3 linked regions of the Astyanax mexicanus genome follow. The protein of the gene in region 2 binds, or shares a complex with, the protein of the main gene of each other region. Links are inferred from orthologs where the notes say so. Each region holds a gene or a part of one and is shown on either strand. Other genes may lie near its edges. The genes, in order: stub1, bag3 and hspb8.

The links.
Region 1: bag3 (region 2) and stub1 share a complex: the UniProt entries of both Homo sapiens proteins name them as parts of the chaperone-assisted selective autophagy (CASA) complex. The link is inferred for Astyanax mexicanus from reciprocal best matches to the Homo sapiens genes BAG3 and STUB1.
Region 3: bag3 (region 2) and hspb8 share a complex: the UniProt entries of both Homo sapiens proteins name them as parts of the chaperone-assisted selective autophagy (CASA) complex. The link is inferred for Astyanax mexicanus from reciprocal best matches to the Homo sapiens genes BAG3 and HSPB8.

What each region holds. Positions count from the first base shown.
Region 1 is NC_064413.1:56,075,534-56,082,665, reverse strand, and holds the start of stub1 (E3 ubiquitin-protein ligase CHIP), read left to right. Parts: upstream 1-4,084; 5' UTR 4,085-4,419; intron 4,420-5,775; 5' UTR 5,776-5,892; coding exon 5,893-6,012; intron 6,013-7,132. UniProt on the Homo sapiens protein: E3 ubiquitin-protein ligase which targets misfolded chaperone substrates towards proteasomal degradation.
Region 2 is NC_064414.1:37,723,777-37,731,857, forward strand, and holds the start of bag3 (BAG family molecular chaperone regulator 3), read right to left. Parts: upstream 3,013-8,081; 5' UTR 2,990-3,012; coding exon 2,798-2,989; intron 1-2,797. Other genes in the region: tial1 (nucleolysin TIAR), read left to right, coding at 5,422-5,450, 7,386-7,482, 7,668-7,766, 7,876-7,930. UniProt on the Homo sapiens protein: Co-chaperone and adapter protein that connects different classes of molecular chaperones including heat shock proteins 70 (HSP70s), e.g. HSPA1A/HSP70 or HSPA8/HSC70, and small heat shock proteins (sHSPs), e.g. HSPB8.
Region 3 is NC_064429.1:38,598,951-38,606,873, forward strand, and holds the start of hspb8 (heat shock protein beta-8), read left to right. Parts: upstream 1-4,850; 5' UTR 4,851-5,202; coding exon 5,203-5,557; intron 5,558-7,894; coding exon 7,895-7,923. UniProt on the Homo sapiens protein: Involved in the chaperone-assisted selective autophagy (CASA), a crucial process for protein quality control, particularly in mechanical strained cells and tissues such as muscle. Displays temperature-dependent chaperone activity.

The sequences.
Region 1 (7,132 bases), on a different chromosome or scaffold from region 2:
CTGGATGCAATCTAGATGCAGCAAAAATCCAATTTCATGAGATATCTGGATATACAGACCATCAAATATCAATCTGGATTAGTCTTCATATATCAACAATCCGTTTTCATGTGATTTATTAATGTCCAGGTTGTCACAAATCAATCAGGATACTAGATAACTATGCTAAAATCCTATTTCATGTATTTTCTGTATGTCCAGACTATATCAAACATTAATCTGGATTGAGTCTAGATCTGGTAAAAATCTGATTTGGGCTGGGTCTGAACACTTTGGGCTTGGAGATCACCACTCTACACTGAGCACTGAACTGCAGAACTGTAGGTAAAGGGAATTAAGAGTGCTGAGCTAGCCGTCGTTCGGTCGCATTACAGTCTTTATAGTGTTTAGTATTTGGGGGTAAACGGCTGCATTTACAGAATTCGCCACGTTTTCAGCCAATTATTCTGTTTACTATGTTCATTTCTTTTATTTTAGTTTTGTTCCCCCTTTTTATGTTGATCTGTTTAGACGGTGGAGCTCTTTACCGTGTACCTGTACTGTTTCGTAGAGTGTGTGAGTGCGAGTGTGTAAGAGAGTGTGTGTGAGGTGGCTCAGGCTTTATTTAAAGCTGCTCTGAGGTCAGTTTGACAGCCCGTGAATGTGTGTGTGGGTGTATGAGTGTGTGTGTGTGTGAGTGTGTAAATAAACGTAGCTGCACGTTCTCCTCCCTAAACAGACAGGAAGAAGTCCTGCTGTCTCCTCCAGTAGCAGAAGACCAGGCTAGAGATCAGTAACGCCGAGTGAGTGAGTGATTCATGGCCGAGTCCAGTTCTCTGATGGTTTATTCTTTCAGGTCTCAGATGTTCCTGTTCTTTTATAATGCAGTTATGATTCATGTTGTCCTAATCTAACTCATTAAATGGATTTTATGAACTTGAACCCGTCTGTCTCTGCATGTCCGGTTACGACCCATCCTGTAAAATACCATATTGAATCGATACGAGATGTTATTTGTTTTGTATTTCCATAAATGTCCAAAACACACATCCTGATTTTAAAGTTGAAAAAGGCTAAAAATGGGAGGGGTGGTTTGAGAGGGGCACTATAGGTGATGTATGGGTTTAGATGCGGAGCAGGAAGGAGAGCTGATTGGGCTGAGTAGTGTGCCTCTGATATGTATTATTGATTATTGACTGATTTGCATATTGTGATGTGTTTGTGTACCAAAGTACACAGAAACATCATCCTGGCCTATAGCACAGCTGAACCTGAAGGGGAGCTGCAGAGGCAGAAACTACCACAATAAAAGCATTTTTTTTAAAGGTTAGAAACTTTCTAAATTTTTTAAGCAAGACTAACACGTTTTATTACTTCAAACGAGCTGCAAAGACCCACTTTATATTTTGAGGGAAGAAACTCCCAACTAATCAAAACGTCTAGGGTTTAAGGAGGCAACAACATAAACGTCAGTTTTCAGTAAATATGTATTAAAATCAAGACAAATCACTTAAATACACAAAAAGAAAATTTAACAACAACTTCAGGGTGAGCTTAATGCCACGATATCCAACAAAACAAATCTTAACCCAGCCCCCAGCTAACTTACCTGGAACCACAACGAAATAAAATAAAATAAAAAAAAGACAGAAAATAACTTAAGTTTAAGTAAGGCTTTTACAAACAGACCACCTGCTTGAATCATCCAAAAGGCAGCCAATCCACAGGCCTATGTGAGGTCAGCTGACTTTCCCCTCCAGATCACCTGAGTGCGTGGGAGCTTCACCTGAAAAACTGAAATAAAAAAATTAATTCAGCGTACATTTCAGCTATTGTGATGATAATTTATTTGAATAATACACAGTAATATTACCCAATGTAAATATTACATATTGCTATTTAAAGTAATAGTCTGTTTTAATACAAAATAGTTATAAAAAACGACTTTTCTATTTAAGCTTAAAGTAAACGTTGTGTGATGATAGATCTTTTAAAGGAGTAAACATCAAACAGTATTAAAATATATTTAAAAAAAGTGAATATGCTATATTTAATAGCATATATGTAACACTAGAGAACACTAAATAATGATTTAAAATCTGTAAATATATACAGAAATTAGACTCAATAAATTAAAAACAATATTTGCCTTTTTTTGTGTCTGTGTTGAATGCCTATTAAATTGTCTCTTTTACTGGTATATCGCTGAACAGTAATTGACGTGATTTGTTTTGCATTTCCAATAAATGTGAAAAAAACATATAAAGGATCATTTATTTAATTTAACAGCAGATTTTTAGCTGATATAAATATTGAATATGAAAATTTAAACAACAAATCATACTAATGCATTAACTCTTGATAAATAAAAAGAAAATGTTTGTAGCGCTTTCTGTTTAATTTGTGTGAAAATATATTTATTTTTGGGGAATACAGTGATAAGTGGTCATTATACAAATTAGATTATTAGTGTGGTTTAACTGTTTAAATGACCCGACTTACATTTTTTTTTAGCTTACAAGACAGACAGCAGACAAATATGGTTTAATTTATTTAGCAATTAACAGTCATCCCTCTCTACTGCTCTGGGTTACCGCTGCAGAAACGAATAAAATAAAATAAAGCATAATAAAATAAAGTGGTCGTATTTTAATGTCTGAAAGGAGGCACCTCCTAACAGGAGCTGTGCTGCCAGGGGAAAGCGATGGGTCAGCAGAGTGGAGTCCAGAGAGGAGAAAGCCCTGGATCAGCTGGATGAGCTCAGCAGAACACGCCCAGCTCACACTACACTCAGCTTTCACACCAGCACTATTTGTTCTGGTTAAAACAGACTCTGATTGGTTTGTACTCTTAGTGCGGTTTAATTGAGCAGGTGCGAAAACAATAATCACACAGTAATTCTCACTTGTGGTGAAAACGTGATCTGGTCTCGATCCGACTCAGATATCAAATATACTTCTTTTATTTGAGCTAAACTGCTGATAAGGTGCAGTTTAATCTGATATAATTACCACAGCTATGAACAAATGCTGCTTCATGCTGTTTACGCTCTAAGAGCGTGGTCTGTGCTGCGTTTACTGCTCACAGTTGTGTGACTCTGTTTACTATGTGTACATATGCGCTGCACGTCCCATTGAAAACACTGTGTTTAAAAGAGCTGCAGCAAATTTTCTGTGTTCTGTGTTAAATCAGCTTCACACTGCACTGATTTACAGATATACACACTGGAACTTCTCACTATATTTACTTTTTTACTCCCACACAAGACAGTGCTAGGCATTGACTACTGCTTAAAGTGTACTTTAATTTACATTATACTTTGTAAAGTGTATTAAAAATTATGTTAAAAAAAAAAACTTGAATCTAATTAAGTTCACAGATGTTATACAAAAAGCACTCAAATGCACAAACTCCTAATTTTATGTTGTATTTAAATATAGCTTAATTACAATTGAAATATACAATCCTAATGCGTGGCCACAAGTTATTGGGAATGAGATAATTAAGGTGTGGGAACAACATAATTAAGTTGTAGCCAGAGAATAATAAAGCTTGCTTTTCTGTAAATTAATGCACATGAGCGAATAGCTTTCCCACATTCCCTTGAACCCTCTGTGAGCTGATGTAACAGAACTGAGTCGCTGTGCTTTAAGTTGTGGCCACAGCTTAGGAACTAATTCCTATGCCTTAATAATAGTCATAGCCACTCATAATTATTTTTTTTTACATGACGTCACATAAGGGGCTACGTAGAAATAAACTTAAGTTGCCATAAGTTTTGGCCACACCTTAGGATCTCATTCCTATGCCTTAATAAGTCGTGGCCATGCATTATTAAATATTTTTACATGGTGTCATCTTAGGGGTTCCGTTTTAGTATGTATTTAAGTAAGTATTGATTTTAATGCTAAAAGTACGTGTTTTTCTATGTTAATTATACTTTTAATAAATATACTTAAATACACTTTTTTATTACAGGGGAAGAAGGCTTGTCCTGCCTAGCAACAGTATCTACCGAGAATCCAGCTGAACCGACTCTCTGAATCAGGAGTCAGTCTGAACTGAACAGCTGTAAACTGCGTGTTCATTAACTGAATCGATTCAGTGCGCTGACGGGACTCGGTTCTCCGGGTACATGTCCGCGGCTGTACGTCACGGTGGAAAACAAGCCGAGCTTTAGCTTTAGCGGCTCCGCAGCGGCGCGAGGATGAGCGGCTCCCTGTAGCCGCGGAGAGAAAGACCGCAGTTCTGGGTTTATTATTATAAAGAGCAGAAACCGGAGATGAACCCGCGAGTCGCTTAAACCGCGGGGCGCACGGAGCGAGCAGCCCGCCTGCCGGACAGAGCTGCTAGGCTAAGCTAAGCTAACGGCGGAGTCTGCGCGGCGCTGTGACCGGGGGAGGAGCGTGGGCGCCGGGCAGAGCGCTGAGTTTACCACCGGTAGGTCCCGACAGCAGCCGGAACCGGAGCAGGCCTATTCCATCAAATAACAGCGAGTTTCAGCTTCTTACAGCGGATAAAAGCTTATTAACTCCACTATTAGCGCGTTCGTGTATAAATTAATTCAATATTTATCTGTTTTTAGTCATTTTTAAGCGTTTTGTGTCATTAGAGCCCTGTTTTTGCTCTCTCTTTCCTGATGAGCAGCCCTAATCTAGGGCTGCAGCTAACGATTATTCTGCTAGTCGATTAATCGACTAACTAGTCGATTATTTAACAGAGTAGTCGAATAGTCAGCTATTATTTCTGCCATCTCTTTCTTCCATCTTTGCTATAGGTTGTATCTCTTTCTCTATCTTCCTCCACTTCAAAACGATATAAACAGCAGAACATGGGATTTAAATGCCAAGAAGCCTTGGATTTCACTTTAAGTAAACCTGTAGAAGCTATCCGCTCCCTGTGCCATGTGTGTGGTTACATGATTGGAAGAGCATATTGTAATGTGACGCTTCCACATAATACATTATTGCTGCCTTCACGTCCTCCTTGGAAAACTCTTTTGTTTTAGGTTGGATGTCGTAATTACTCGACATGCATTCAAGTGTATTTTGGTCGGGTGGAAATGGACGCCATTAGGAAAATCTTTTGTTTATACTTTTGGTTTATGATTCTAAAAAAAAAAAAAAAACCTGCAGGTTTATTTTGCCCTAATCCAGGAGTATAAAGAGTGATAAAGACACGCATTAGTTAAGTGATGGTTTTATCCCATTAGAACTATGAATCATACTAGACTTTTGATTTATTAGTTAGCTAATCACAACATGCAAGTGTTCAAGTGTGCATCAATTTATTTAATTTATTTATCAATTTAAATAACAGTAAAATTATTATTAATTTTTTGACCTCTTGTTACTGACACGCCCCCAACTGGGAAACTCTGTGCTAATCTAAAAATCCGAGTTTCCCACTTTTAAATACAGTTTGTTCAGAGTTTGTGGTGGCCTTAATGTGCTCTCCTCTCATAAATATGATATTTCCAACACCATTTGAAGGCAGCATAATTCCTTTTCCGTGTGTTTATTGCAATTTAATCACTCTGTGATAGGACTGGAGCGAGAGTACTGTAATAATAAAGCGCACTGTAATATGCTCTAATCGATGCATGGTTCTGAAGTTTATGTATATGAATATAAACCAGTGATAATGATCCCCTTTCCCAGATGTTCATATATTGCCACCCTTGGCCGTTTAATTTTTTTTTACTGATTGAGTTATTGTTCATCCAGAGAAAACTAGTTGAGTTGTTTTAGAGTTGTATTTGAGTCTGGATCCTGTGTTCACTTTTTGGATTTGCAGCTCGAGGGCAGAGGCATCTCTCCAGGTGACCCCGGGAGCGCCGGTGCCCCAGCCGAAGAGACGGGGAACAGGATTGGGAAGCAGGGGGGAGCGGCCACCGCAGAGCCTGTGGAGAAGATGCAGGCCGGCAGCCCGGAGAAGAGCTCCTCCTCAGCGCAGGAGCTGAAGGAGCAGGGCAACCGCCTGTTCCTCTGCCGCAAGTACCAGGAGGCCGCGGCCTGCTACAGCAAAGCCATCGTAAGTGTGGAGGAGCCAGAGAGTGGGACTGGGAACTGGGGGAATATCGTTAATCTTTTTAATTTAAATATCAATACTCAATACTCTGATAGGAGTACTTTTAGGTAATTGATGAGGATTGTATGCAAGTATGAATAAGTAAAGATTATTTATACTGAATGTTTATTTATACTCACTTTTTTAGCACTTTATTATTTTAGCTGAGTGCTTTATGGAAGTAAATTCATTATTAGAATAGCACACAAAGTATTTAGTCAGCCACTGATTATTGTGCGAGTTCTCCAACTTACAAAGATGAGAGAGGTACGTAATTTTCATCATAGGTAAATAAATTCAGTAAATTATGGTGGAAAATATTATTTGGTCAGTAACAAAAGGTTTGCACTCACTATAGCTAGAGTTTTGGCCCATTCCTCCATGCAGATTCCCTCTAGAGGAGGCAGTAATAACACAGAGTTTCAACCTTGAAATGCTTCTTATAAAGCCACTTCTTTGTTGCCCGAGTGTTGTGTTTGTGGTCATTGTCATGCTGGAAGACCCGGCCATGTTCCATCTTCAAGGCTCTCACTGATGGAAGGAGGTTTTGGCTTAAAATCTCATGATACATGTCTTCATTCATTAATTCTTACCATGATATTTTCCCAATCCTCTGCTGGATCATCCACATGCTCTATGGTGAACTTCAGTCGGGCCTGGATATGTACTGGTTTATGCAGGGAGACATGTTTGGCACTGCAGGATTTGAGTCCCTCTCTGTGTTTTACTGAAGTTTGTCTTTGTTACTTTGGTCCCCAGCTTTCTGCAGGTCATTCATCTGGTCCCTCTGTGTAGTTCTGGGATTTTTACTCCTTGTTCTCATGATTGTTTTGATTCCACAGGATGAGATCTTGCATGGGGCTCCTGATCGAGGAGGATTATCAATGGTCTCCTATGTCTTTCATTTTCCAGTTGATTTATTCACACAGACCAACCAATAAATTGTTTACCTCTTTTAATTTTTTTTATTTTTTATTTTTTTTTTACTAAAATTACTTAAAGTGCTAACCAGAAACAAGCAAAGGTACAAGTTTAGGTACTGACACAATGCACCTTCAAACCTCAAAAAACAAATAGAAAGAAA
Region 2 (8,081 bases):
TACTGACAAATGGTATAAAAGTATACATTTTATTGCGTATTATTCGCAGCAGTAGCAGTAACAGTAGGCTAAAGCAGAACCTTTACGGGGCTGATGGGTCTTTAGCAGAATATCTCTTACAAATCAACAAGCAATTTTAATCATTGAGTAAAAAAGTCATCCCTCATTGTTTTTCGTATTTAACAAATTTAAATCTGAAGTCAGATCAAATAAATTTTACCCTGAAAAGATATGCCTGTTCCCCTTTGGTGGTGTGTCACAATACCAAAATAACATTTAGTCACTCTAATCACTGTATTAACAAAACTGACCCACTATATAGAATACTATAAATTTTCATATTTTTGAAATCCTGTACACTATGACAAATATACTGCTGCTTTAATCCATAGAAGACTCTACACTCTAATGCTTTCTTCACTGTTTTCATTTTTTTTCTTGGCCCTACTTTATCCTTTATTATTAATGAACTTTGCATTTTAATGTATGAGAAGAGAGATGATAAAATGTTTGACTATAATTTAATTACAAAACAGGCTGACTGTCCAAAATTAAATGTAAAAAACAAGCATAAATAATAAGCACAAGCCTGTTTTTTCCTGTAAGATGTGAGAGTGCTCCGTTGGTATGTGCAGGATAATTAGATGTTGTGAAATACCTACACACAATGTCAAAAGTATCACCTCGCTGATGACCGTAAGGAAAACAAGTATCGTTTCATCACAGGCAGAATATTCCATTGATTTTCCATGATTCAAACTATTATTTAAGGACATACTATCGAAGAACAGAGGTGGAGTAAATTGTAAATTGCAATAATTTAATTTAAGTAAGTATTGCATTAAAGTTTCTAAGATTTATGGTGCAGTGTTATGTCTTACAAGCTGTTAGCCTTTTAATTTCAGTTTCGGGTTGTTGTAAAGTTGTAAATATTTATGGTTACAGTGTGCTTTATGATCTTTGCAAATTGTGCTAAAGTAAAGCCATGTGAAAGTAGTGTGGTATAAATCAAGTATGAAATTTCCCAGTGTGGTCAACAAATTTAGAGCTAAACTCAACTTATGTACAGTAATCTGTTTTAACAATGGGGTGAGGGCTGAGCAAAGAGCACATTCACAGTATAAATCATTTTACATGCAACTATAGGCTGTTCAACAGCTATACAGAAGTTATACAGGCTACTGTACATATATTACATGACTCATGTTATGTGTTTCTATGTGTGCGTATGTGTGTGCATGTGTGTATGTTGAATGGGTTGCTGTTTAGTTGACACTGGAGCTTAAAATACACTTTGTGAGGGGGTGGGCGTCACTAAGCAGATCTATGATGAGAAAGAAAAGGCCTCCCTTACTCATCAGTGTGAATCAGAGGTATGGGCCCCAGACAATCTCTCATCCCACACAGGGAGGGACAGCAATCAAAACAAAAATTTTGATATTGTGGTGGTGCTGGTGGTGGAGGTGGTCAGGTCTTTAAACCTGGTCGGTCCACACAATAAGGCTTATATTTGGTTTAGCTTTGGTTTAACCTAAAATTAGGATACATTTACAAGTAGTTGTATATAGTATAGCATGTAGTTTGGTGAGAAAACTGAAGAAAGAAAATGCTTTAAAGTGAATGAAGTAGGTGAATGACCTTGTGTCCTCTGCCTTTTTGGCATGGACGTGTGGACACCGAGACGGCCTTGTGCTCATTTTATCTCCTGGCAGCTGTGTCTTTCCAGCAGATTCTTGGTGACACTAACTTTGGCCAACAGCAACGTGTTGATCTTTCTAATGAGAGATACCAACTGGCGAGCCCTACAGTCTGCACCCTATAGTGAGTGATTCAACCTAACAGCTTAGAAGAATTTCCAGCTTATAATGTGAAGTAAAGTAAAGTAGGACTTTTCTCCTTTTATTTAATTTTTTTTGACGAAATTGAACAACTGAATCACCATGATTCTGCCTTTCCAAGTATCGACCCATTCATTGGTCATCACCGACGCGCTCAGAGAGAGGGTGGATCCGTCTCAAATCCCATGTAAGGGAAACTTTAGAGGACAGACATGATAGCGCGCAGTTCCAGCGGCGATATTCCCGAACAAACGCAGTGTGTGTGTGCGCGTGTGTTTGTGCGTGTGTGTGTGTGTGGAGCTTCAGCCTCTTTAAAAATAACCATTATGGAGACTCTGAAACACTCCGAGTCTTAAGGCTTGGCTACATGCAACTGCAGTGCGTCACACGCACTAAAAGCAGGCTGGCCGGCTTAGATCATAACACTAAAATATTATACACAGCGTGATAGCTGGTAGCTACAAAGAATATATGAGGCGCTATTTCAGGAATGTGGCCTGATGTCATTCAACTAGCCAACTAACCAAGGTAATAATCAACTAATAATTCCGCTCAGCTCAGAACCTTTAGAAGTATCTCCAGCAGCCTATACGACGTATCTCCACTGGCTATTTAAAAGTCTCTCTATAGGCTTTTTTATTATAATGTATGTAGCGGAATGTAGACATCAACGCAGTCTATAATAATGTAGCCAGTTAAATCAGATCACCCACACAAAGTTATGCTAAAAAACTATTCACGCCTACGTCCACCACCAGTCCACTAGAGCAAATAGCAAATAAACAGCTAGCTAAAGACCAAAGCCTCCCCCCCTCCAGCCCACCGGAGACCACCTGTCAGCCACATTATTTGACACTCCGCAAAAAAGCAAAGCAGAGAAGCGACAGGGACGTGAGAGCGCAACTTCTTCCATGGCAGTTCTGCGACTGCGCCACGACGGCTCTCTCCGCAGATCCTACCTTCTTAGAGTCATGTCTCGGGTCGTTCCACGTCGTTACGCGGTTGTTGTGATCCACAAAGAACGGCCAGCCGGTCTGAGGGTCAATCTTGATCTCCCATCCTGGCGGCAGGGGGTCATTCGTAGCCATCGCTTCCACAGGAGACAGTGTTTTCATGCTCTGCTGTAGTCTCGCTCTTGAATATTGTGCCATGACAGCGCACACGGATCCTTTAAAGGACCGATGTGATGACGTACGGCTGACTGGGGGTGGGTTTCTCGAAGCAGCTGGTGGGCTGCTGAGAAAGTTCTAGTGGGCTGAACACAGCTGAGTCTTGGAGGCTTGACCTACCCCTTTAGAATGGATACGTCTATAAGCTTCTGCTTATGTAAAAAAAAATAATAATATTTGATTAGAATATTATTAAATAATTTTGAATGACAAAAAATCCTTAATATTAAATAATTTAGAGACAATGCTGAAGAATCTAAAGAAAATAGAACCTTATGTGAAAATTTAAAATATTAAAATATTTTGAGATGTATAGAAACAAAAGATGTTTGAAGGGCAGGGACAAAAAAACATACGGGAAGGACAGAAGGGCACTCCTCAGCATTTAGAGTCTTATGCTATCAAAATTAAGATTAGATTTTCTAGACATTTCTAGAACATACAGTGTCAACTTTTGCCTATAATCCTGGTATATCAAATGCAAGCAACTGACTAACAGCAAGTGACTAATAGCAATTATTCAGACCACACCACAGCTATATCAAGCCTACAATGCAAAAAAATGACAGGCAGCATGATACACTTATCATTCTGGTCATTTTATGGTTAACAGGTTGATATACTGTGTATGAAAAAAGTGCAGCAGTACAGCATGAACTATACTGCCACCATGTTTGTTCAGTGCAGGGGTCATCTTTTCCTGTCCTGGAAAGTTAGTCCAGTTTAATGATTGCCCGTAACATCCCTTTTTCCACACTGATCTGATACAATCCGTCTGTTTTCAACATGGTGGACAAAGTACACAAACCATGTACTTGAGGTAAAGTAGAGGTGTACATATGCTATGTACATAATGTTAATTGTCAAATCTAGGGAAATCACTAAATGTGTTGGACATCAGAAAAATGAGACTATGTTCCATGTTCTTATGCATTTGCTGAGGTATTTTATTAGTTTCAACTAGCATGTAATTCCTGATCATAGACTACATTAAAGCAAGCCAATGTGGGATTAATCTCTCAGTAAATCAAGTTCCCCACATGTTCTAAAAAGGGTGCAGGAATCTGCATATTTGTATAATGCTACGTGGGAATGATTAGAGACATTTTGCATTAAGAAGTTATTGATTTGCATTAATACATTTTCCTATGCTCAAACTCATCTGCAATGACCACTGAAAATTAAATTATAGAGCAAGAGAAGAGGAATTTGGAATAAAATCACTTCAAAATACAATCACTAATAGATGTCCTTAAGCAAATTATTACCATTTTAATTTTCATCACATAGCCCACACAATGACCTATGCCTAGAGTAGTTGTAGTAATAGTTGTAAATGTTTATTGTTGCACAATTAGTTTACACATATATCCAAAACTTTGTAATTTTCTGCATATCAAATATTGGTACTAGTGGCACATGGCTACATACTGGAGAATCATTCCCTATAGCTGAATATATATTTTTATATATTTTTCTGTTTTCTGTTTTTGTGTGTGTATATATATATATATATATATATATATATATATATATATATATATATATATATATATATATATATATATATATATATAAGCACCCTAACCATACTAATTAAATAATAAAAAAAAATAATAGAAAAACAAAAACATTTTTGCTGGTTCCATTAGGATATCTTACTGTGAAGCCTCATACACAAACACATAGAGCTCTGGAAAAAATGAGAGAAAACTTATTTTTTAAATCAGTTTCTCTGATTTTGCTATTTATAGGTCTCTGTTTGAGTAAAATGAGCATTGTTGTTTTATTCTATAAACTACTAACAATATTTCTCTCAAATTCCAAATAAAAATATTGTCATTTAGAGCATTTATTTGCAGAAAATGAGAAATGGCTGAAATAACAAAAAGATGCAAAACTTACAAACCTCAAATAATGCAATAATAAAGTTCTTATTAATTAAGTTTTAAGAGTTCAGAATATTTGGTGAAATAATCATCCGTTTTAATCACAGTTTTCATGCATCTTGTCAAGTTCTTCTCCACTAATCTTACAAAATGCTTTAGGATAACTTTATGCCACTCCTGGAGCAAAAATTCAAGCAAAAATTCAATTAAATTAAAAACAAATCATAATTTTTAGGTGTTCCCCCCCCCAAACTGTATATATGTCTACACACATACTGCGCTGTGTTGAGGCTACGCTCTACTTGCTATTGTGGGCTTGAACGCGCTCGCACTCGCTCAACAGTGCTCAACCCCGTGATGCTGCGCGCATGCGCGTTGGCTGGATTCCTAGCTGGCCGGGTTTCGCCATTTTCTACACAATAAAGAAAGTAACTAGCTTAAATCGGTCTGGCGTTCTTTTAACCAAAATAACAGGGCACAGGAGCCGTTGAGAGGTTACACGAAGACTTAGCACGACATCCGAGAATGGAAGACGACTGCCACCCAAAAACCCTGTGAGTACTTTAGAGCGGGATAGTTGTCTATACGTTTAGACTGGAGTGTTCTAAACCACAGTCGTTCACTTAACGGGAGCGTAACCTGTTCTGGGGTCTTTTTTCTCCTCTCAGACAGAGATGTGCGCTCAGGGACAGGGCTAGAACTGTTTAAACTCTGTGAAAATCATAGTGTGCAGAGTTGTCAGTGAGTTGTGTTGTCTGCCTGATGTGTGAACTGCTGCTCACCTCTGTTTGCTAGCTCGTTGCTTGCTAGCTAACAACGGTTGCTAGCTAGCTTAGCCAGTTTATCTATGGGTAATATAAGTAGCTAGCGTTAGCTGCATAGATAGTTAGCTTGTGAGCGGGGCTAGCAGCTAGCTAGCCGCCGTTAGCCGTCCAAGTTAAAGTAAGTTAACGTTATATGAGTAGCTATGTGAAACAAAATTGAGTTATATAAAGGGCTGTATGTGGTGTCATAGCTACATGTCTACCGTTACATAATTAACCAACTCCACAAGCAGAATTTTATAATTTATTATGGACTCGTATCCAATGAAATAGACTAGTAATTTAACTTAGCTTAGCAAATAATTTCAAAGGGATAGCTAAAGTAGCTAGCTAGCTTTAGCTGCCTAGCAGTAGCCGCTTGTTTAACGTTAGCTATTGTCTGACACACAGCCGCTCACTGCTGGATTTCAGAGGCCTAATAACAGACTACAGTGCCGTGCACCCTTTACACGAACGGTTATTGTTCTTCTAGACATTTTCCCGACGAAATGCCAACTTTGTTCTGTTATTTGTTGTCATTGTTTTAGTGTTCTGATCTATTTATAGAAACGGCTACAACTGTTGGCAGCCCGTCTGTAAGCTACAGAAATGCCCTCTCCGGCATTTTTAAACGGAAAACAATGTGACTGTCAGACAGCTAGCCTTAGGTTTACTAACATCGGGTTTTTATCCTATATTTTTCTGCCTTTTGGCGTGGCACTGTTATTTATTAGCTTTTTCAGAAAAGTTTTCTTCTTAAGAGTAACGTTATTGGTGGCAAACTAGTTAGCTAGCTAGCTTAATAAAGAAAGAGACACGCTAGCCTTTCTTTCCTTTGTCATTTTCGCTCATCTGGAACAATAAGGGCAATGTGGCAAGCCGTTTCTGACACCAGCGAACTGACAGTTTTTACCAATAAAAATAAAGAGATTTAAAAGCTCTTTGTATTTCGCTTAAATATACTGGACTTTTTTAACGTTCATTTTTTGCATTTTAGTGTGGTTTGTTGTAAGGTGAAGAAATCTGCTGTTGAGAAAAAAAACTGTAATTTACGTTTTTGTTTTCCAGTAGAAACTCACATTTCAGATATTAGTAAAATATTTACCTGATCTATGACATTATCAACGTTCTAGCATTTTTACAAGTAAACACTCCAATTACAGACATCTAGAATTACTTTTTTTCACCAGGATACCAGAATAATTTCAGTTATTTACACATCTCTATAAAAAAAAGACCTGGTCCATAATTAACTTTTCAAGTTGTACAAATATAGAATTTGTCAGAATTACATTATAGATATCTGAAATTACAGTATCTACCAGTGGAGAAAATAATTATAGATTTCTGTTATAGAAGTGCACATATAGATAAGGCTTTTGATAAATTAAATGATTGGATATGACTTGTATGAGTAGTCATACTTTGATCTAGGGTATGTCTTCCTGGTAAAATGAATAGTAAGAATGTCTTTATAGATCTGATTTTACTAATACAAAATCACAGCTGATCTCTGAAATGAGCTTCCACTAGTAAAAAAGTGCATTACAGAGATTTAAAAATGGTTTGCCATAAAGGCAAGCTTCATTGAGATTTTTGCTGAATTGATTAAACTAATAAGCTTTATTCTCACTTCTCATTCTGAGCATTGTGATATGCTGGATGTCTGTGTTTTCTGTTTTTCAGTTACGTGGGGAACCTCTCTAGGGATGTCACAGAGAACTTGATACTCCAGTTGTTCACCCAGATTGGCCCCTGTAAAAGTTGTAAAATGATAACAGAGGTAAGAATGGGATATAGCCCTGATTGAAAGACTCATTTTTAACTAAAGTTTAGGTTTCCTACAAAGTCTTTGCCTGTTAAATGAAGTCTAAGAAAATGTTTTGCTTTTTTCAAGTCCTATTGTGCTAATCATGCTATTTTGTAATGTCAGAACAGTGACACTCTGTTGGACCTTCTTTTCTGCAGCACACAAGCAATGACCCATATTGCTTTGTGGAGTTCTTTGAACACAGGGATGCCGCAGCTGCCCTAGCCGCAATGAACGGAAGAAAGATTCTTGGAAAGGTACTTTGTTTTGCCATGTCAATTGTTTAAGATGTTTTTTCCCTCTTAGTGATTTGCTTTATATGAAAACTCTTCTGTTTAACCTTAAAAACGATTTTTTTATGTGCAGGAAGTCAAAGTAAATTGGGCAACAACTCCAAGCAGTCAGAAGAAAGACACATCCAGTAAGATTTGTTTCTTTTTAAACACTTTGTATAAACAATGTTTTTGTACTAATTATATATTTCACATACAGCAACAAAGGGTCCCTATTTGATTCTGTATTTAACCTTTTAAAAAGTTCTTGCAATTAATATGTTTTTCCTCCTCCTTCCA
Region 3 (7,923 bases), on a different chromosome or scaffold from region 2:
ACCGGAAAAACACCTACATGATCGTTCTGGACGGGAATAAAATCACAGAGGATAAAAAAAACATAAAATAGAAAATTACCCAGAACCCCCTGAAAAAATAATCCTGTCCGGATAGAGCTTTAGCCCCACTTATCTTTTTCTTTTACATGTTTTTTATGAACACGTCAAAAATCTTGAAACAGAGGGATAAATATTTATAATTGTTACACAATATACCACACGTTCTCTTACACCACTAATATTAAAGTTGAGCTCGTTGATTGGTTTATCAAACTCTGGTAAACTAGCTGAACTAGCGGTACCTTTTTACGTTTTTATGTTTTTTCTTCTTTTTGATTTTATCGGATTAGTTTTTCAGGAAAGAGATGATGATGTTATCTGGGAAAGGCTGCTGTGTTTCAGGTTAAAAACAACAACCTGTAAGAATCCATTTTTCCTCCATCAGCACCACTCTCCTTTTCCTTTTGATTTTTATTGTTATTTTTCTGTATTTTTCAGGTTTTTTTCTCAGGTTGTCAGTTTTGTTGAGTTAGAGAGATGTATGGTTTGTTTAACGGGTTTCTGGCTCCGGCCGGCGAGCTGTCGGCTCAAATGCCAGCGGTGTTTATCTTCAGCCCGAGAGAAAACACCGTGACGACGGTGACGGACGATCAGAACCGCAGTCGAGTTTCTGTCCGTCAGAAACGCCGGATTTTACTGCAGGAAAAAAATAATCTGTTTAGAAAGAGAGACCAGCAGGGGGAGCCTTCAACTCCTCTATACACTAAATATACACGCAGATATACGGTTATATACTGTATAATAAGGGACTGATTGATCACAAAGATAACTTGGGAAATCTGTCACAAATTGGATGATAAACCGGCTGTTTTAATTTTAAATACATAATTTTATAATGTATTATATTAATGATTAATATTATTTATTACTATATTAATTTAATTATAATGATTTCAGTCCCATTCCAGAGCACAGTTAATAGATAATGTAATATTCTTAAGCCTTTATTTTCTTTTTTTTTTTCTTATTTATTATCATTGATTTTTGTATTTGTTTACTCCTTTTATCTCAGGTACATTAATGTAAAGGCAGCCTATTTTATGAAGTCTTATTTAACTCTTTTATAATCTTTTCTAATTTATAGTTATGCTTTTCTCATATTTATTATTATTATTAGTTTGAGCATTTAATATTTCATATTTTATACTTTTTTATTTATTTTCTTTATGAAAACGTGCATGTACTGCTGGATGAGTAAATGAAGCTTCGGGTAAAATGTGATTTATCATAATCTGGTACTCTGGAGTAATGTGAGTATTATTTATAGAGATATACAGCACTTTACAAATGTTTTATTCCCGTAATTACAGTATAATAACTGGTTAGTGCTAATGAAAATTATTTATCGATTAATTAATACTTCTCATCTTTTTTACACATTTAATCTGAAACTTTATAGGAATTATTTGTCCCACTTTATAATAAGTATTGGTAATAACTGTGTAATTACACATCAACAACCTTGTAATAACAGTGTAACTACTGGTTATGTTTTTAATTGATTCGATTTAAATAGTTAATTAAATTAGTATTTATTAAGTATTTTGGATTTAACTGAGAAAATAAACACTTACTGTCCAGATTTAACACTTTATAATAAGGGAACATTAATTAACATTACAGTGCTGCTAATTAATTAATTGATGTACTTTTATTGTAAAGATTTTATTTATACAATATTTTTAAAGGGGACTAAATTTTTTGCAAAGTGCTGTATATTTATATAATGCAATACATTTAAATACAATTACAGAAATTATCTTTATTACCTGAAAAAGTCTGTATTTACTGTTTTAGACTGATAAACTGTAAAAGGGGTCCAAGCACTAATTACACTGCGGTTAATTTATCATTGTTTTATGTTGTTTTATTTTTGTTGTATAACTCTATTTATCTATTGGTTATTTATTGTTTGCCACTTCATTGTGTTTTTTAATATTATTTATATGATTAATTTATTAATTTAATGGTTAATTTTGAGTGTGTATGAAGGCGTTCTCTGGCTCTATGCACTGTAAATAATAAAATAAGGGTTTAGTTCTGCTGTACAGGGAATTATGGGAAAGGATCTGCTGGAGGAATGTGATTTATTATTATCAGGAATAATAAGAGCGATTCTGATTTAAATCTGATGTTTTATGTAAATCTGTGTGTAAATAATCTGAATAATGATGTGAGTTATGTGGGCATGTGTGTAGTGTAATTGAACAGCGGCGGCGGGGGTCTGTATATAACTACACTATAATCATATATACAGTAAATAATGATATATAATGATATATATATATGTCTTATCCGTCTACATGTAAAAGAAATAGTACAGAAAACCTGGAAACAAACCATGAACTTTATAAACACACATTTCTGTTCAGCACAATTTTTTAATGATTATTATTTATCAATTACAATATTTATATTTATATATATATATGGAACTAAGAACTAATATGATGGATGTTCTGTAGGGCTGGGTGATATATTGATATATTTATATTTTAATATATATTATCTACACTAGAGTATACTGATACTAATAAACAATGTTATTGATTTTCAGATCAAACAGATAAACATAAATACAGTAAAAATAACAGGAATTTATTTTTCTTAATAAGTAAAAATAGCAGAATCCATTAAATAATCACTAACCATGTTCATTAAATTCTAGCAGATTTATTGTTTTCGCTATAGCTAAAATAAAACTGTATAAACATTAATAAAGATAATTCCAATTTTAACTAATCTTCCAAAAAATGCTCCTTTTATAAACTATGATGTCATAAAAAGCCATAAAGTGTCATAAGCTGATATTTATCATTGAAAACCAAAAGTAAACTTTCTTTTTATATCTGTAGAAATCCGTACTGATTAACGTTTAGGTAGATTTTCATCAGTTTTTTCCCAAAGATCCTGAATAAAAAAACTAAAATAATAAAAGTTTCTTCAGATTAAAAAATAAATAATCTTTTAAAAGACCTAATGAACCTCAGAAAATTAAAGTGAAGATTATTTTTTTGTTTTTATATGTCAATGTTTATGTGTAATATCGGATTTCAAAAATTGATTTAATCTGATGAATTTCGCCCAGCTCTGCTGATCTGCTCACTAAAACGATATAATAAAATATAATATATAATAAAAATATATAAAAACTAGTCCTAATGTTTTAATAAAAAACACAAAGTGAAAACTATTAATAATTGATTAATCTGTTCTAATATTTCTGGATCCGTCATTCAGAACCGTCCGGTCCGATATTACATCATAATAACACACACATCACCATACAGTAATAACAAAGCACACAAACCCCGCCCCCTGCCCCCTCGCCCCGCCCCCCTCCTGTACTGTAATATATACAGTATACTGTGTGTAGAATAAGTGGGTAATTAGTCTTCCTCTGTTGTCTGATCTGTAATTAAACCTGATTAAATCTGTAATTAATGATAAAAAATAAGTAAATAAATAAATAATAAATAAATAAAACCTCTTTTATTTCCAGTTTGGCTTTGATTTTCTTACTTTAGTAATCAGTATAAAAGTGCTTCAGCGTTTAGTTTAAACCCCACCTCTCTGTTTTGATCTCATTAAGATTATTTATACAGATGATTTAAAAAATATACATTCATTTTAAAAATAGTATTTTTTTGGCAGCAGCAGCCTCTGTGAAGAAATGTGTTCAAATTAGTTTTTATTACCTAATTCTGTGTAAAATTACAGAATTTACAAAATGTTGTTTTGTGTTGAAGTGCTGTAATTAACTTTGTTAGGATAATTAAGGTGTTTAATTCGATATACACCTTTATAATGAGGATCTGAAATAACAGTATTATTATAACAGTAATAAACATTGTTAGATAGTTCAGTAATGTCTCTAATTATTATTTAACACTAGTTAAGAGATTATTAATCATAAATAAATTTGAGTTGAGACATTTTAAGACATTTGAAAAAATACTGTTAATTAATGTACCCTTATTGTGAAGTGTAATCAAAATGTTTGTGATTATATTATGATTTAGTTAAAAATATTTTTTGTCTGTTTACAAGAATTCTACAGTTAAATACTGTTTTCTCATAATTGTATTTGGTTTGTGAGAGAAAACAGAATCATTTGTTTATCAGTTTCATCAAGTAAACTTGCTGTTTTATATCTATAGGAATCAGTACTGATTAATGTTTATTTAGATTTTAATCAGTTGTCCTAAAATAGAGTTTCTTCAGATTAAAGAAACTTTTAAGGATCTAAAGAAACTCAGAACATCAGAGTAAAGAATTTTAAAATTGAATTTGAATTAATCTAAATAGAGCTTTTCTTTATTATGAACTAGTTTTATGTTGTTTTATTTGATATTTATATTTATATACTATATATTTATATGAGGGACGTTAGTTTTATAATAAATTTAGTTGTTGAGATCATTCCAGCTCCGGATGAGTAACAAACAAACAACTCAATAATCAGGTTATATTTAGGGTACAAATAAGGTTATATATAGTTTATATATAAGTTATATATATGGTTATATATGTGATACTGATGTGTTGGTGTTAAGGACTCTCGGGTCGGGTTGGGTCAGGATTCCTGCGGGACGTCCCGCTGCATCACCCCTACACTAATAGAGTAATATGTGAGTACTGGGGGGGAGGGGGAGGGGCTTACGGTGACATCATCCTGCCCTGCTCCTGCTCTGAGTGAAGTTCTATTAAAAAGCCAATGAGTCACCAGATGGGGCGGGGCATGCAGCCGGGGGCGGGGCCAGTGAGGTCCCAGGGCTATACTTGGCCGGCTGTGGGGGCGGGGCCAGTACATTCTGGAGGCCTGAGTCTGAGAGTCACACTGAGGGTGAGGAGATCCAGCAGCTCTATAAAACCCAGATCCAGAACCACAGAACCTCCTCAGAACAGAACCACAGAAACGGTGTCGGATCAGAACAGGAGAACCGGACTCTTCTGCAGCAAAACTTCTACAGATTTTTAAACTTCAGAGAAACTTCACCACTAAAAACAGCTGAACTCCCGGCACAGACTATCTGACTGTACTACTGTCTGATTATTCGATTAATCGATTATCTGACTGTCTGATTGTTCGATTAATCGATTATCTGATAATCGTGTAATCGGTGTTTGGGGGTATTGATCATGGCGGAGGGTGATTTCTACACGTTGGGCGGCAGTAGGCAGCGGATTCCGCGTAATCCGTTCTCTTCGCACTTTATGGACGATGATTTTCCGATGCCTGCGTTTCCGGACGATCTGTCGATGGATTGGCCGGGTTGGGCCCGCCCCCGGCTGAGCGCTCGCCACAGCGCCCCCTGGCCCGGTGCCCTGCACTCGTCCTTCCCCCGCCGCTACACCGAGCCGTCCCGCAGCCCCGCCCCCGGCCCCGCCCCCACCGGCCTCACCGACGAACCCTGGAAGGTTTGCGTCAACGTCCACAGCTACCGACCCGACGAGCTCAGCGTCAAAACCCGAGACGGATTCATCGAGGTTTCAGGTCAGAACTCTAACACAACTTTACATATATATATACTGTTTATATAGTGTGTATGTATGTTTATGTAGTGTGTATGTATGTATTACAGTGTATATACACTGTAATAATACAAATGAATCACTTTATAGACATAACATCTTTATACAAGCACACACTCAACAGTACATTTCAATAATGATTCATAATACTTAATAATATTATTAATTACTGATATAAGTATAAGTATAAGAATAACTGTGTAATTTCTCTTCATATATGTCCCCATATTTGAAATACACTTATAATACAGTAGTAATCGTACAGTGTTTGTAAATAACCTCAGTAAATTCCGCTGAGCTCAGTGTCGCCCCCTGTGTTTATTTAGTAAAAACAGATCATTAAGATGAATAAAGTTACTATTAATAAATCTGTAGTAAATCCTGCTGACAGTAAACAGTCAGTGATCATCATTTATTTATACAGTAATATTATTTATCTGCTGTTTTGTTGTGGAACAGTAATTATATCACCATGATCACTGAACATCACAAGATATCACAACTCAGCTCCACCCTCAGGCCTGTCCTCTATTAACCCTTTAATAACCTTTTAATAACGCTCTATTAACACTCAGAACTGGGAGAACAGCTGAAGATTAAAACTCAAAACAACTCCAGTCCTCTTTATTCCAGCTTTAGTTTAAATTAGTGCTTTTAACATTTTTATATCCAATCTGGTAATGCTTTGGTGTTTTTAGTTTTTTCTTAGCATTTGTACAGCTTTTTTATCACATTTTTTATTTTTAGTGTTTTTGTTTTTTGTGTTTTTTTAGTCCTTCTATGGAAATTTCTTAGTGTTTTAGCATTTTTGTTTTCAAAGGTTTTTGGTCCTTCTTTTGGAGTATTTTAGTGCTTTTTGGCATTTTGTTTTTAGTGGTTTTTAGTCCTTCTTTGAGAGTATTTAAGTTGTTTTAGCACTTTTTTTGTTTTTTTGTTGTTTTTAGTGCTTTTAAGTGCTTTTTTAGCATTTTGAAGTTACTACTCAGACGTTCAGAAGGCAGATTTATTTTATTTATATTGAAATACAGATTAAATATAAATCAGCACTAGTTTAGAGTGTATAGGGTCAGGCCGGGTTGGTACAGAAGTTGGAGAATGACTTGCAGATCACTGAGACTCCAGTTCAGCACCTGCTGAGATCTTTAACCAGCTCGACCCCACAGATAATATTAGCCCAGCAGCTCCAGAGCTGTAAATAACTCAGATCACTGTGGAGCCGTGGAAACCAGGGGCTGTTAAAATGATAGACTGATTACCACACATGCAGAACGTCAACCACCAATCACCAAACACCAACCAACTACCACCAACCACCAACCATTAACCATCAACCACCAACCAACTACCACCAACCACCAACCATTAACCATCAACCAATAACCATCAACCACCAAACACCAACCATCAACCACTAACCACCAACCATCAACCACTAACCACTATCCACCAATCATCCTCCACCAGCCACTAACCACCAACCAACCACCACCAACCACTAACTATCAACCACCAACCACTTACCACCAATCACCAACCACAACCCACCAATCACCAACCACCAATCACCAAACACCAACTATCAACCACCAGCCACCAACCACCAACCACTAACACATACCTAAATTTACATACCTTTTCTCCAGTCTAAATATTCACCTCTCTCTCTTCCTCTCTCTGCAGCCTTTTCCTCTGTTGTTACATAAGAAAGGCTCACCTGTGGTCTTTTTATAGAGCTTACTTCCTGATTGAAGTGCTAACAATTAACCAATGAGGTGTTTGGGCAGGTGCCGCATTTATTAGCCAATTAGCTGATGCTGTGTGATTTTGAATGGCGGTGTTTTGATATGGAAACACGTGACTTTATATCAGATTGTTGTGTTTTATGCAGATAATCGAGATCAGTGAATATAAAAAGTGTTGTTTTGATTTGCTAAATGTTGCTAAAAGCAGAAACTGGGTTTAGAGGTTTGGAGATGAGAGGTTGTATCCTCTCTGTGTGTAAAGGTAAATAATTGTGATAAACATGTGATAGAAACTGGAAACACACTGTAACTGTAAGTTTCTGAGGCTCACTCAGAGTATCTGGGTGGGGGAGGGTGGTTGATGTGCTGGGGGGGGGTGGTTGACGGGGTTCTGTGATGTCACACCGTTTGGAGAATGTTCCTGTAGAACCAGAGACAGTGTGTGACTCAGTGTTCAGTAATTAAAGCTGATTAGAGTCTGATTAAAGTCTGATTAGAATCTGATTAGAGTCTGATTACACTGAGTTTTAATATCTGGTCTGATTTTATCTCTACAGGTAAACACGAGGAGAAACAGGATGAGGGC